Linked DNA regions of Drosophila melanogaster. The protein of the gene in region 1 interacts with the protein of each later gene in a pairwise test. Each region holds a gene or a part of one and is shown in the gene's direction. Other genes may lie near its edges.

Evidence for each region. The genes of interacting proteins can lie anywhere in the genome.
Region 2: the proteins of CYLD (region 1) and key interact in a two-hybrid assay, tested with the Drosophila melanogaster proteins (one study listed by BioGRID).

Annotation. Positions count from the first base shown.
Region 1 is NT_033779.5:10,293,973-10,303,318, reverse strand, and holds CYLD (cylindromatosis), read left to right. Parts: upstream 1-3,471; 5' UTR 3,472-3,572; intron 3,573-4,098; 5' UTR 4,099-4,114; coding exon 4,115-4,275; intron 4,276-4,329; coding exon 4,330-4,538; intron 4,539-4,905; exon of another isoform or gene 4,906-5,190; coding exon of another isoform or gene 5,191-5,296; exon of another isoform or gene 5,297-5,341; intron 5,342-5,382; coding exon 5,383-5,614; intron 5,615-5,712; coding exon 5,713-5,888; intron 5,889-5,948; coding exon 5,949-6,103; intron 6,104-6,162; coding exon 6,163-6,381; intron 6,382-6,459; coding exon 6,460-6,694; intron 6,695-6,753; coding exon 6,754-6,895; intron 6,896-6,950; coding exon 6,951-7,147; intron 7,148-7,208; coding exon 7,209-7,402; 3' UTR 7,403-7,460; downstream 7,461-9,346. Other genes in the region: nmd (no mitochondrial derivative), read left to right, coding at 1-648; CG13138 (uncharacterized protein), read left to right, coding at 1,364-1,375, 1,460-3,097; hand, read left to right, coding at 8,020-8,110, 8,260-8,456, 8,690-8,845.
Region 2 is NT_033778.4:24,782,925-24,790,083, reverse strand, and holds key (kenny), read left to right. Parts: upstream 1-2,672; 5' UTR 2,673-2,793; intron 2,794-2,953; 5' UTR 2,954-3,042; coding exon 3,043-3,315; intron 3,316-3,379; coding exon 3,380-3,482; intron 3,483-3,540; coding exon 3,541-3,845; intron 3,846-3,988; coding exon 3,989-4,348; intron 4,349-4,400; coding exon 4,401-4,529; 3' UTR 4,530-4,570; downstream 4,571-7,159. Other genes in the region: Reg-5 (rhythmically expressed gene 5), read left to right, coding at 916-1,105, 1,234-1,796; CG3589 (uncharacterized protein), read right to left, coding at 4,684-4,772, 4,824-5,283, 5,341-5,450, 5,504-5,667, 5,723-6,429; TyrRS-m (Tyrosyl-tRNA synthetase, mitochondrial), read left to right, coding at 6,655-6,791, 6,859-7,159.

The DNA of each region.
Region 1 (9,346 bases):
GAGGCGGGAATGCGCTTTATCAACTTGGACGTCGCCATTCTTACCGACAAGTGGTACGGGGAATCCCAGAAATTGACTTCTGCTGTCTTCTCGCTTGCATCGCGAATCGAGCCATGCATTATTTTTATTGACGAAATAGACTCATTTTTGCGATCTCGAAACATGAACGACCACGAGGCTACCGCCATGATGAAGACCCAGTTTATGATGCTGTGGGATGGCCTCAGCACGAACGCCAACTCGACGGTGATTGTGATGGGTGCCACGAACAGGCCGCAGGATTTAGACAAGGCCATTGTGCGCCGCATGCCAGCCCAATTCCACATTGGTCTGCCCTCGGAGACCCAACGAAAAGACATCCTGAAGCTGATCCTCCAATCGGAGGAAGTAAGTCAGGATGTCGACTTGAATCGCTTGTCCAAGCTCACAAATGGCTTCTCGGGCTCAGACCTGCGGGAAATGTGCCGGAATGCTTCAGTTTACCGAATGAGGCAGCTCATCACGTCCAGAGATCCGTCAGCTACAGCGCTTGATCGCAACAACGTCCGCATCACCATGGACGATTTGCTGGGCTCGCACTTAAAAATTAAGGAATCAAAGATGCACACGAGCAGCCTATTCTTAGAGAATAGAATCGAATTAGATTAAGCTGACCATTGTTTATTCAAGCTCCCGATATATCCAACTTAAATTTGTATAATAAACTTTTTATTTGCCTTTCGAGAGGAGCTCCAATGTTATGTGTTAATTAACCCTGTTCTCTGCATTCCAAAATGGGTATCCGGAAAACGTAGTTTTGGTAGTCTTGAAAACAGCAACGGATACTGCAGGAAATTACACAATCCATAGCATTTCCGTAAAGCGGAGCTCAATGCACTTTAATTATTACATTTACGGGCTTCTGTGAAATATTCACCTAGAGAAATTTCAAACATTTATAAAGATATTGCACTTGTACACTTCTTCAAACACACACACAACTTGCGTCACGCGACCGTGGGCTTTCAATCGTAAAAAAAAATATAAGTAAACTTGTGCAGTTTTATTCTCTTTTAAAAAGGTCGTTTATTTCTGACGGCATTTCAAAGCTACACATTTGTATATCTAATTAAAAATGAATAAAAACATGCATACATTTTAAATAATCAAACCAAAACAAATTAGTTCTTGATGTTTTTGTATAATTTCTTAATTTAAGAAAAATATAGAGTGTACAAACTTCAAGCGAAGAAATTTGCTTCTGCACATTTTAATTATGTTTCGTGCTCATATAAATACTTTCTTCGATTGGCTCAAATCATTTCTGTTGAAGGCGTTGATTAAACCACTTCAAATCCAAGCGAGACTATATACTTAACAAAAAATGAACCCAATGGTAAGCTATATTTCCAATTTGTCTTTTTGATAGGAGATATTTTGTATGTACATACTTCATTTACGCGCATCCTTTCTATTTCAGTTAACTTTGATTCCTGGATACCTATTCATAACCTTAATAATTATTGGAAGTACTGCACACAGTAATTCCTATGCTGTGAATAAAACCAATAGTGTCGAAAGTGCCGAGTGGAGCTATCCTGAATACGGAAAAGGATCTACTCACAATACCGGAAGAAGATCGGAAAAGCTGGATCTGCAACATTATAATCGGGAAACCGAACGCAATGTGACTTTGAAACGCGGTGTGAAAAACTATCAAAAGCAAGGCGATAAAATGACGAGGAATAAACTGAAATATAAGCCATCTGGTGCTCGAAGAAAAAATGTGAGTCCCAATTATGCGGATGAGAGTACGGAAAGTAGGCATTATCATACATTCGAAGAGATCCACGAGCATATCGATGAGGACGATGGTCAATACCAGGCATCCGAACAGGTCGGAACACAAGCGATTCTGCACGAACATGTCGAGCACTCGAGTAAGAAGGATGCGAAGCGGATGAAGGTGAAAATCAAGCATCATCATCACCACCATCATCACAACCACATAAAGGAGCTGATCAAAACAGTACCACAACCGTATCCCGTGGAAAAGGTCGTCCATGTGCCCATTGAGAAAATTGTCGAGAAGATCGTACATGTGCCCAAGCTGGTGAATGTTACAGTTGAGAAAATAGTGCACGTGCCTATCGAAAAGATAGTGGAAAAGGTGATTCACATCCCAAAGCCAGTCCAAGTGCCCAAACCATATGTGGTCGAAAAGATAATTGAGAAAATAGTCCACGTACCGAAACCGTATCCAGTGCTCCGGACTGTTCCGTATCCGGTCGAAATAAAGGTGCCAGTTCATCTCGAGAAGAAGGTACCAGTGCCCTATAAGGTTGAGGTAGAACGAAAGGTTCCCGTTTACATTCGTTCCAGCGAGCCATATAAGTTCGAGTCATCATCACTCTACGAAAGTTATCCACGCGGCGAGGAGTTCAAATTTAACATGGAAATGGATCATCCACCGCCCAGAGAACACGAACCATCCAGCCTACCATCCTCAAACTACTACAACAGGATATACAAATCTAGGGAATTGGATCATCCTCCGAGGATGGAGGACTATCAAAGCTCCGTGCCCACACAGTTAAAGCACGATTACGCAACGAAAACTAATCTCGATCAGCAGTTTAAAAACGAGTACGTGACGAAAAGTAGTATTGATCCTCAATTTAAGCACGATTACGTGACGAAAAGTAGTATTGATCCTCAATTTAAGCACGATTACGTGACGAAAAGTAGTATTGATCCTCAATTTAAGCACGATTACGTAACAAAAAGTAGTTTTGATTCGCAGTATAACCAGGAATACGTACCCAAAACTAGCATTGAATCGACTTCTCCTGGACGGGATGGGGTTTCCCTGAAACTCGTCGGTCCCCCTACTCCTTTCAATATCACGGGAAAGGATTTGGAGACCGCCAACTCTGCTCCAGACTTTGTCAATAGCTCCAACGTAGACCTAAGTCCACAGGAATCGGCTAATGCCTATCGCGGTATGCCATTCTCCATACCATTTCAGTTTGTACAACTCCAACCAATGGCCTTTCAAAGTCCTATACATGTGGAACTGCCAATCCAATCCGCTTCAGCAGAAGGTGCTCAAAAGTGATAATCTAATCAAATGTTTAGCGTAAATAATCCTATTCAGAGAATTATTATATACCTGACAGACTTTTAAAAGACTTTTTCCCCACAATAAAAAAAATGCTAAAAAATAAGTTGCTTAATATAAAATATAATGCATATTAGAATATATAAAATTGTTTATTTTGTTGTTGTTAAAAGTTTATGATAAAATTCATAAGCAATAAAACATACTAAGCCTAACAAGCAACGACAAACAAATCGCAATATACTGTTACATATTCTATATAATAAAACCGTTTTTAAACCGTTATTACTTTGTTTTTTTGACTGTATTGTATTTTTTTGGTTCAAGATTACCCCCAACAATTGTCGATTGCGGTAAAATCGATAACGATATCCAGAATTCATTCCAATCGCATTCTAAAAGACACAAATTTTATAAATACTAAACAAAAATCCAGGATATAAACACCTTTTTATTTGTTAGTTCAATTTATGTGTGTTTGTATTAAAACTCAAACAGGGTTGCGCTAAAAACTTAATTGGTCATTTGGTATTTCAGCGAACAGCAATATTATTAAACCAATGTAGTCGCGATTGTTGTGTGTCATTGTTTTTATCAATTAGGGAAAAGTTGCTAACGAATTGTGTTTGTTATGCATGTATTTCCTGTTACTTGTTCTGTGCAGTCCTCCTTGGCAAATAAATATTTAATGCAAGATTGAAATTAGCGTAAAAACAATGGAATGTTTATTGAACTACTGTTACAGCAACCTGATGTCTCTTACATACTTACGTGCATATGTACATATGTATGTAAGCGACTGCAAACTAAGCAGTTACAAACAGAATCCGTCACATCGAGTATCATTGATTATTTCGTTTAACAGTTTTAACTCGACTGTAGAATACTCTCTGCCAAATATATAGCATGCTCTTTAAAATTTTTCATAAAAAAACACTTATGACCAATACATTTTGTATATCCTTTTTATTTAATTACTAATACAAATGTTATTATAGCCTTTAGTTGGAAATAATGAATTCCAAATCCGATTATGAAGCAGAAAAAGAAAAAAAGCTGACCATAACAAATAGATTCGGGGACTCCCTGGAAAACTATGAACTATCCAACGAGAGCGAGCACAAGACCCATGTATACCCGAAAAAGATTCCTAACAGAAAAAACGGAATTTTAAAGTACGTAGTAAAACTGTTTCAATTCATTTAAAGCTAATAATGAGCGATTTTTAGAAACACCGATGCCAACCATAGTGCCGTCGATAATCAACATCTTGAGGATGTGGATTTGGCAGACATTTTGGGCACAAATTGGCCAAAACGAGCGGGACCAGCTGCAATGATCTTAAACAACAAAAGTAAAACGGATCCTAGTAATTCTGTAGACTTAATTTTAAAACCAGCCTCACCCATATTAAAAATAGAGCCGGAGGAACCTTTACGTAAGTTTATTTTACTGTCATTTCTTCAAAAAGAAAAGAAATATATCATTATTAAGAACTAAGGAAGGAATCTGTTCCGACCTGCTACATTCTTGGTCAGGTTTACTAGCTCTCTTAATCTTAATCCTGTTTGTCCGTCCATATAAATAACGAGATCTCAGGAACTGTAAAAGCTAGTTCTAGTTAGTGGAATTACTCAAGCAGTCTTCTGTACTGCTTGCAAAAGACATTCAAATTCTGCCTGCTACATCACTCCTTGTGCTGGTTGTCTATTTTCAAGTGTATCGCACTTCTTTTAGCTGAGTAAACAGGTATGTAATAGTCGCTTCTTTCGAATATAGCGTTCACTGTTATTGAATCTTTTATTCTCGATACTTTACAGTTGTTGTAAGACTTGTATTCACTTTGCTTCCTTGCAAAAGACAACGAAATGAAAACGTCTATTTATTTATAGAACGCCGGCCAAATACATAACGACACATACATATATTCTATTTACGTTCACGTAAAACGGCAGTTCTCTGAGTTGATATATGCAGTTTGTCGAGGAGTTTTATTTGTTCTGCACTTTATCAAAGTTCTCAATTGCTGAAAAAAAAAAAAACATAAAAATTAGTAAAGAAATTAAAATTGTGCTGTGCGTCTTTCAAAAATGAATATATACCAACAAAAATTGTCTTCTGACTCGGATATCCACAATAATATTCCATTAACAGTGCTAGAATTTTATTCACCAAATTTATTGCCCGAAGAACTTGGTATGATCTATTATGAAATCGTTCCGCTTTTTTTAATTTGATTTTCTAAGAAATTAAAATTTATTTTAATTTTATTCTTGTCCTAGGTTTTACAATCGCTGATTATCAACCTCTGATTGAAATACCTGGAACCGAGCTAGCGATTGGTTCCCTCGTCGAAGTCTCGAATCCTGGAGTATGTGAAGATCTATATGGCGTTGTGAGATGGATAGGTATACCGCCTGGCCCGCAAAAAAACGTACTCGTCGGAATCGAGGTAGAAGACGAATCCAACTTGAAAAATGTAGTGGCATCGGATGGGAGACACAATGGCGTACGGTATGTCATACTTTTAAACATTTAAAACACATAAATAGGTACTCATACAAGAAAAACTCTTAACTGAAAAATATCTTCTGTGTTGTGTTTTGTTTTAGCTTATTTACTTGCCATGATGGTCGAGCTATTTTTGTACCAGCCAACAGATGCACCGCTGACCGGCGATTTGCTGATGTAGATAATAGCATTTCTGCAAACAGAGTTTCTAGTAATCACGCAAAGAAATTTGGCGTCGCTGACTGTCCTGCCATATATGGCTCGATACCACCATTACGTAAGATAACAATAAACATTTAATAAAGGAAAGGAGTTCATGCAGCTATTTGTTTTCCAGAAATACACAATTCCGATGAGCTTGCTAGCATATGTGGAAAGTTCAAAGGAATACAAGGACACCATAATTCCTGCTACCTTGATGCAACTCTATTTTCCATGTTCACTTTCACCAGTGTTTTCGATTCAATTCTGTACAGACGTCCGGGCCCACAAGTAAGTTATTCGATTTGTCTGCCCAGCTCACCAATAACAAATTATTTTATTTTCAACAGGATATTCGAAATTACAGTGAGGTTCAAAAGGTTCTGCGCGATGAGATCGTCAATCCATTGCGAAAAAACGTTTTCGTTCGATCCGATCGTGTGATGAAACTGCGCGAGCTCCTAGATCAGCTAAGTTCGGTCAGCGGTCTCACCTGCGAGGAAAAGGATCCTGAAGAGTTCCTAAATAGTTTGCTCTCACAAATAATGCGAGTTGAACCGTTTCTAAAGGTGCTTATTGTACTCATTATTGCATAGATTTTTATACTAAATAATTTACATGTTTTTTTTTTTTTTTTTTTTTTGTAGCTAAGCTCGGGGCAAGATTCTTATTTTTACCAACTCTTTGTGGAGAAGGATGAGAAGTTAACATTACCGAGTGTGCAACAATTGTTTGAGCAAAGCTTTCACTCATCGGATATAAAACTAAAGGAGGTTCCTTCTTGTTTCATCATTCAAATGCCTCGTTTCGGAAAGAACTACAAGATGTATCCAAGGATATTGCCATCGCAGGTTCTTGATGTCACAGACATAATTGAAAATTGTAGGTGTTCAACAATATAACAATTTGCATTTCGAATCTTAACAAAATTCAACTTGCAGCTCCTCGACAGTGCTCACTTTGTGGCAAACTAGCTGAATACGAGTGCCGGGATTGCTTTGGCAGCTTGCAGGCTGGATCAGGACTGGAATGCACCGCCTTTTGTCCAAAATGTCTCAAGACATTTCACAGTCACATCAAAAGGTCAGCTATCTTCATAGATAAATGAATGAAAACCAATTAAAAACCTATCTTTCAGAACGAATCATGTGTCGAAGAAGATTTATAGTCCGAAGGAATTTAAAATCATGGCCGAGCACATGGTTGTCCCGCGATTGTACATGGAGTTATTTGCAGTCGTTTGCATAGAAACATCTCACTACGTGGCATTTGTCAAGTCTGGATCCGGACCAGATGCTCCATGGTGTTTCTTCGATTCAATGGCTGATCGAAAAGGCAAGCAAAATCTTAGTTTTAACCTAACAAGTTTCTTATACTTACGCAAATGTTATTTCAGGCGAACAGAATGGATACAATATACCTGAAATTACGTGTGTTCCAGAATTAACACAGTGGCTCTCGGAAGAAGGCGCACGATCTATAAATGAAACTTCAACGAACGATAAAGTATTACCTGAACACGCCAAGCGTATTTTTTGCGATGCCTATATGTGTCTGTACCAAAGCACAGATATAATGATGTACCATTAGAGCAAATTTATCAATAAATTAAATGAATGCAATAAAATTTTTGTAAAAATCACATGTGAAATGGATTTTGTGCCTATTAATGGTTATTGGTTTGTTGAAAAATATGTTTTATGATATTAATATGGGTAGGCTTTACATATATAACAGGAAAAAATAAAGATAGGTGGTTTTCTATAACTAATATACCAAGTAGCTTATATTTTTTTTACAAAAAGTTTGTAACAATTAGGAAGTGCTTTTTGTTAGGAGAAGTTTTCAAGGTGACTCCAGAAACAGGACTGAACCATCTAGAGAACTACGGATCACTAGACCATGAAAGGCAGTTCATATTCCGGATATATATGGATGTATGTATACACGGGAGTACATACATACATATAAATCTTGAAGTGCCCACCATTGGTCGACGCAAAACGTCGGCGATTGCGATTGGTGGATTTGGAGGGAGGATATCCAGATGTTGTTCACTCGACGGCGCACATTCACTAAACAAGTGAAAAAGTTTTTCAGTTACTTGCCAGACATCAAAGACGAGTTTTACGTGCGACGCACTATCTGCGAAAATGTCGATCTTAAGCCGCGAATTTGATTTGAATTTAATTACGTTAAATTAGAAAATGTTTAAGAATTCCGTTGCCTTGACGTGCGAATACTCAACCATGTATTATAACTCAATTTATAATACTTCCAACATGTTCGACATGAAACGTAAATGTTTAAATCATTCTTCTTACTTCGCTGTTATTTAAATAAAATTGGGACAGTGATTTGTGGTACCAATTCCAGTACAAAAGCGACTTTTATTTTATATTTTCGTGTGTATGGAAAATAATGTATATATTTTCCAAATATTTCAGACTCCGAAAGTCAAGTTCAGCAACAAATATATAACACAAGTCACCTAGGTTATGTGCCAACTTCGAATACTCGGATTGTTAAGAAACGTAATACAGCTAACAAAAAGGAGAGAAGGCGAACCCAAAGTATAAACAATGCGTTTTCCTATCTGCGAGAAAAGATTCCCAACGTTCCTACAGATACTAAATTATCAAAGGTAACTTCACCGACGGATAGATAATCTTGAATTTAATACTTAAATACACCAATAAGCACATGAAGGTTGGATTTTAATGTTTCCTACTTAAGTCAATCTTAACTATATTCTACTTTTACTTTGTTTAAGAATTAAGATAAAATAGCCAGCGAAAAATATATTTTATAATAACTTATTCAATTATTTATAAATTTGAAGTTTGTTTGTGTCCGTTTGCTTGGTTTACTTGACAGATTAAAACATTGAAGTTGGCCATATTGTACATAAACTATTTAGTTAATGTTCTTGATGGAGATCTGGATCCAAAAGGCGGATTTCGAGCCGAACTTAAGCCGGTCAGTCGAAAGATCTGTAGCGAAAAGAAGCACTGTTTGAAATCAGAGATTCAAGTAAGAGAGTAATTTACTTTGTCATGCTTTCAATAACAAACCAATCACTACATATATTTAAATTGATCGCTTTGAATTTTGGATTTAAGTTTATCCGGCGGAATAACAATTCATACATATTTTTGCCGCTTTTCATGCATTCAAACAAAAAAATTATTAAAAATCTTTTTTGTTTTTACTGTAGGTAAATGAGTTAAGATACCATAACCTAATTGATATTTCATTCAAAAAACATATTGGCTTGCTGATTTTTGTTGTACAAAGATATAGATAAAGACAATGTTCCCGCTATAAGGGGCGTATTGTTTGTTTTTTTGCATTGATATATAGTTATAGTTCTACTATTCTATTTGGCTTTTTCATTTCGTTGAGATCTCTGCTCGGAATTTGTATTTTTATGGTACACAAGATATTTTCTCCCCCTTTTTCTGCACTGGGGCGTAGATATCTCAATTGTTTGTTTATTATAAGAAACAAAAGCACTTGACTTTATAAAAGAGC
Region 2 (7,159 bases), on another chromosome or scaffold:
TGTAAAACCCAAAGCAGAGCCAATGCAAATGAAGCTCTTGCTAGATTTTGAAGCAGATCAAGGGTGTATACAAATACATATATATATATATATACATATATCTAGAAGGAGGCTACAGACTCGATACTGGATCCCCTAGTGAAGTAACCCAGTTCCCCATTTCTTTTTATTTCTTTGTTCTGCTGTTTGCTCGTCGACTCTTCGATTGTTTGGCTGTCTGTCGGGAGAGGTGCTAAGTCGTGACCAATGCCGGATTCGGAAATTTCAGGGAGCTTCTGCTCTGTATCACCACCACTAAATTAGCATCGGAGCTGAAGCGATCCACTTGACGTCACCGACGACCAGAGAAATCCCACAAATCTCAGATGCAGATGTGTCACCGCAGTAGAACATTCGGCGCTAATTAAAAGTCCATTCGACGCTTCGCTGGCCACGGAGAATAGACAATGAGCTGTTGCTTTGGCCGCTGAACCGTAAACCCATACTCATACCCAGCCCATCCGAACTGGGGCACATGAACCAGATGGCAGCCATCCAATCTCGCCCTGGGAGGCAGTTGCTCAACCCGCGGGCCGCGCTGTCGAAATGCATTTCGTTTGTGCAACGAAAGTGCAATCATCTCCCGGCTGACACACACGCACCTTGCGAAATCCCCCCATTGAGAGCACCAGGCTTCAGCTCCACCTCTGCCCTGCGTTACCCAAGAGACCTGGTCGAAGTATGATTGCTTCGAACTTTCTTTTTTCTTTTTTTTTCTAATATCACCGACATATGTTCTCCGATTTTCGTTTATGACAAATCAATACCATATTCGGCTGGTGAACAGAGAAGCGATGATCTGCTTTCTAATTTCTATAACTTGATTCTTAAACACAAGACGCCATTAAAATAACCACCAATTTTGTTACTTTGCAGATGTCCCACCTCTACTCAACATTCGCTCAATTGGTAAGCGTGCACTGCAAGTCAACAGCCGCCGTCGGAGGCCTCCCAGTGAACCAGTGCAAGCACAACCTGCTCGGTTACGGGTCCGCCAAGCTGCAGACGCTCTCCGACGTACAGCTGGAGGCACTAGATCCGTATCAGCGCGATGCCAACGAGCTGAGTAAGTGCCTCTATCTGCGTGGGAGAATGATTGATTTCCGCGTCAGAACTTCCGCAGTGCGCAGTCGCGACGTGCTCGACGTGAGCTCTAAATCTCGGTGTCGATCTAATCGCTCTTTTCTTCCGCAGTCTGGTCATCGATTATGGGGGACCATCCGAGCGGAGCCAGCCTGGTGACAACGAGGCAGCCGCTCCAACAGCCCCTGCCAACTCCTCCTGCGTCCTCTCTGATCATCCTAACGCGCCAGCAACTTCCGCACGGAGCATCCCATGCCCACCCCATCCAGAGCTCCGGCTCCGCCACCAATCCAATCTTCGAGAGCGGCGAGCAGAAGCACAAATACGCCATGGACATGGACAAGGCCTACGGCTACGGGCCGCAGTCCAGCAGTGAGCTCCCAATGGCCGCCGCACTGACTTCAGAACCGTCCAAAAGATTCCTCACCGGACCTTTGGTGATCCGGGTGCGACCCGATGGCTCCCCGGTGGAGGAGGACAAGATGATGCCACTGCCGCGGGACGAAGACCTGCCCTACTTTCATCTTGGTCTGGCCGCCGCTCAGCCCAACAGGCACCGCAAGATCGCCACAATCAGCTCCTTAAAGCAGCAGCACTTCGCCTCTATCCTGCAGAGCGACCTCCAGCCACCCCACCAGACGCAGAGGCGTCTGTTCCGCCAGCAACAGGCGTAAGATCGCGGTCAGAGGATCCGCAGGCCTAGACCTAAGTCCTTGTGTGAATGTGATAGAGCAGATGAGGAGATCCTGCATCATAGAGTGCGAGAGTGAACGTGTGAGTCTTCTAGTTGTAGCCGTTTGAGGAGTTTTCTTGAATGCACTTGAGCTTTAATGGAATTTCGTATCGTATTCGTTTAAGTTTTTTTAATTTTATTTATTCGCGTGCATTAGTCGTAAGATCACATAGAGATTCTTGAGTAATAAACCGCATGATGATTATCATTGTTACGAACGTATTAATTCTAAAATGTGTGGATTGGGATGGAAATGAGGATGGGGATGCGGTCTGTGCACATAGCCAGGAACCGGTTGGTTATGGTAATACGAAAGTCGCATCTCGGCCAGCCACCAGTTCCTTGTCGCGAGCTCCACTCACACCTATATTTAACACGCGAAAGCCTTATTAACCCACATCTACAGAGTTGAGCCGAACAATGGAGGTACTGAATCCGGTTTGGCGGGTTCAGAACGCACTGCGCCGTCCATTAGAATTTGCGAGTTTTGGCAATTACATTTCGGTGTAATTTCGCTGGCAACTGGTTTGTCAGGCTCAGGCCTTTAGGACGCGCCCATTAATCTCAGCTGAGCAACAAAGGAAGGTAAATTGGGATGCACGTCACTGGGCTTGAATAAATGATGCCGGGACTTTCCACCGCCCTTGCAGTGCAAACTGCACTTCATATGCACGAGTTTTGGGCGTGTAATCAGTTTTATTGAAATTAGCTGCTTTTAAATTTAGATAGACGAGCTCGCCGATTGTCGATAACATTTCCGATTATGACAATATGACAATCAATGACACAAAAAAAGGCACATTTGAAACGATTGCGGTCACACTGGTCTAAGTTGTTTGGTAAATTAGTTAAAAGTAAATATTACTCCGAAAACAATTTTATTTCCTTAAAGCTTGTCAGCAAAGCAAAACGAGATAAGGAACGCAGTAGTATATAAGGTATATATGCAATAAACATGACAATTGCTTATTCCATTGTGACGCGTCGATGTAATTCCCACGCCTAATGAATCATTGCCCTAAAACTCATTTATTATACATTTATCCTTACTATTGCCGATATCAAATTAATCGATTTGGCTAATACTTTGCCGTCTAGTTTTCGAAAGAGGGGAATTCCCTCACCTGCGTTCACAGTCGTAAAATCTGATTATTAATACCCGCCATTGCTACCGCGACAACGGAGACATGTCGGACGAAGAGTCATTCGTTATCTTGGGTAGCTCGCCGTGCTCCTCGCTCATGCCGGACAGTTCCTTGCGGTCCGACGTATGTGGTAACGCGCAGGAGGCGAAGGAAACCGTTGCCTCTACGAGCACTCAGCCGCCAACAGTGAACTGTATTCCAGTCAGCATCACTGCATCGCAGCAGCAGCACAAATCGCTGGATTCCGGATCTTCCCAGCAACAATCCCTGGCGACCAGCTTCATTATGGGAGAAATTCAATCCGATGTCCTGAAGGTGAGCGTCTGGTTACCGTCTGGTCTGTTTAAATTCTAACAACAGTCTCTAAATCCAACCACAGAACAGTGTTTATTCGCAGTTTCCCAGCCTCTGCTCGTTGCAGGGCTCCGCAGAGGAAGTAGTTAAGCTGCAGAACATGATGACCGAGTACCTCGCGCTAAAGAGTGAGCATTTTTTTCCCGTAAAGTAATATACAGCAATAATATGCCATTATCCGGCCAGGCACACTTGACAAGGTCAACCAAACCATGCTGAACTACCACAACCTGACTCAACAATGGCGCCAGGAAGCCGCCGACCGAGAACACCAGTACAAGGAGCATGTGAAAGAGTGCCAAGCGCAAATCGCGATCCTTCGCGTGGAAAACCAAGAGCTGAAGAGGGACCTAGAGACGAAAATCGAGCAGATTGAAGGGGTTCATACCATCAGGCTAAAGGAGCAGGATGAGCTTCGTAAGAGCGTATCTGAGAAACAGTCCCTGATCGACAACATGCGCGTGGAGATTGACAAACTGAAACAGCTAAATGTATGTCTACCAGTTGCTCCAAGCGATAGGGCAAATACTTGCATACAGACTCGCAATCATTGCTATTCTGCATTGTAAACTGGACAGTATCTCTTTAAAATATTCTCTTCCGGGCTCGCACCCTTTTTCTTCTGTTATTTCAGCACTCGTTTGAGTTCGTACCAGAGTATGCAACCGAATCAAAATCCCAGGAGCTGATAAAGAAAATGCAGCTGGATATTAACGAGCTGAAGGCCAGGGACATCCAGAAGCAGGAGGTGATCAAAGGTCTACAGATCCAAAACGATATCTACCGCAGGGACTTTGAAATGGAGCGGGCAGATCGCGAGAAGAATGCCGGAGAGAAAGATCAGTATCTTATGGACTTGCGATCATTGCAGAGGAGGAACCAGGAGCTTATCGAAGCTCTGGCCGAGTCCCACAAGGCAAGCAAGGCGTGCTCGACCGCTTCTCCGCTGAGTTCAAGCAGAAGCAATTTGCGAGAGGAGCAGAGACCAGTAAGAGTACGCTGATTCCAAAGTCCATAAATGTCAATACTAATTTTTGTATCGGTAGATTCTCGACCCAACAGGCGCCTCATCCCGGACTTCAGACACCACTTTGCGATGTCCGATCTGTTCAAAGTCCTTTAACGCCTTAAGCGTGCTTCAGAGTCACGTTAACGATTGTTTGGATAAAAACTAAGCACAATTTCTTACCATATTAATAAATTTATATATATATATATATTTTCTTTTTTTACAATATCTTGTTTAATCTTAAAAGCCTGGCTAACCGGCCATATTATATAAAAACACTAATTACAGTTTCGTTAACAATGAACAATGCACGAGTCTCCTCAGAGTTTGCTGCGAATGGGGGGCATTTCCAGAGACCACACGCGGTGTACATCTGGACTGGCTACCAGGTTGCTAAGCACATTTAAGTCTGCAAAGAATTAAGATAAGCTAGAAACCATCGATTCGACATTCTGCTCACCGTTGGTGCGTGCAAACTGCTGCAACGTGTTGCGGATATCACAAATTGGAATGGCTGTATTTATGTTTGGGTAGACGACGTCGTCTAATTTAATGTTGGACACACAAACGCCTAGGATGCATCCATTCTGGTCGAACATCGGTCCTCCACTTTGGCCCGCCTGCACGCTGCCATCGGACATAATGGCCCCGGTGTCGCACTTGATGACCCTCCCTTGAAAAATCGAAGGGTTGAAGTCGTGCCTGAAGCTGAAGTTAACGTAGTAGGGAAACCCGGCGTTGTACACCATTTGCCCGACGGTGGCCGGACTCCTGGCCAGTCGCACGCAGCATTGCTCCGGCACATCCTGCGGAGCTGTGAGTAGAGCCAAGTCGAAGGGCTTATCGCTGTCCGGATTGCACCAAATCACCTCAGACTGGAACTCGCGATCGGCAGCACGGCAATTAACAGTCTCAATGTTCTGCGTGAAAGACATTATTTAGTGCGCCAAGGTTTCGGGCAGCCCATGCTTGCATACCTGTCCCACCACATGTGCACAAGTGAGGATAAAGCGCTTGTTGTGTACTCTTATGAAGGTCCCGGTACCTTGTTGACCCGCCGACTCTATGACCACAATGGTGCGCTCCCCTAGAACGGTGTGTAGTTACTATAAGAACAACGTGGAATTAGTCTTAACTTACAGGCAAAGCTCGACGGCTCTCGACTCAGCTGGAATGCTGTAGTAGACATGCCCAGTTGTTCCATAAAGTTGCGCAAAAGGTAGCCAAAGTTTGCGGCCAGAGTGAGGTTGACGTTTTCGTGATGGCGTTGAAATGAGGTGCATATCACAATGCCAACGAGCCGCCTGATAAACGGAAATTTTTGGTATATTACGGTTTTGTAACGTATTCATCACCTACAGCTTGTTGTTGAACACTGCAGAGCCTTCACAGCCCAGGGGCAAAGCGTTTGAAATGGCAAACAAGCAGCCACTTCGTCCCATAACATTAGACACCTTTCCAATGCTGATGGTCTTGTAAAAGTTCTCCAGGCCAAAGGGCGAGCACATGACCAGCACGTCGTCCAAAGTGTGCATGGGCTGCAGGTATCGCAAGTAGTTAGCGATGTGCGCGAGGAAGCGCTTGAAGGACTTCTCCTTTTCGGGCTTCCGCAGGCCCAGCACCACGAAACTGGAGCGCAGCACCTCACCCGCATCGCCGGAGTCAGCGGTGAGTAGTATGTGGTGCAGGTTGCGGCAAACTTCGTTCGCACAAAACACGTACAGCGGATGGGCAGTGAAGCGGGAGAGGATGTGTGGTTGCCTCGACCCAGGTGCTGCGATTGGCCTCGGCCGTCGTTGCTGCGGATCGAAGGTGGCCACAAAATGTAGTGAGCGGATCTGCGCATCCTCTTCCTGCTCCTCATTCTGAACATCCAGCAGTTGACCCCTCTGCAATCTGGCAACAATTGCCTTGTTCTGCGCTCCTTTGTCCCCGTCTACGGCCAAATGTGGTTGCAGAATGCTTCCAGAACTGATGATGAGTTCGTTGTTAATAATGATCGCGGACTGTTTTGCAGCCGGTGGACTGGTGACCTCCAACAGGGCGTGGCGTATCTTCAGCAGCATTATCTCTAGATTTGATTATGAATAGCCCCTTGTCATGGAAAACTGCGTTGGCTCCAAATGGAACCTTTGTGTTTGGACTCCGATGTTGCCATTCGCAGCGACAACCAGCTGTTTGCAAGCCAAAACAAGTCAGATTTTGTCATTCACCGCGCGCCGATCAGCTGATGGCTCCAACCTCAAAATCAGTCCCTCTAGGAATTTAAAATTTCCAACGAACTTCGCATAATGCTGCCTCTGCGCCGGAGTTTGCTCAAACCGCTCCAGGATGTACTCCGACATAGCCACCGCCAGATGTCGCAGAAGAACCTCTTGGAGCTCACAGATCGAGGCTTTTTCCACGGCATATTTCCTGATACAGCGGCGTAAGTATTGGACCATCTACAAAGAGAGAAGATTTCCATTTTATCTATGAAAACCGCTGCTCCACAGTCCCAGGATGAAACAGCTTTTTACCAGAGGCCAACAGAGCATCTACGCAGGATTCGATCCCACCGCTGACAGTCTACACGTGGGCAATCTGCTTGTAATAATGGGCCTGATCCACTGCCAAAGAGCCGGCCACAGACCTATTGCCCTAGTAGGAGGAGCAACTGGACTCATAGGGGATCCCAGTGGACGCAAGACAGAGCGCAACCAACTGGGCGAGACGGTGATCGAGACCAATCTAAAGGCTATCGAGCAACAGCTTCGCCGGGTGTTCGAAAATCACGAGAACTGCCTTTGGGACTCT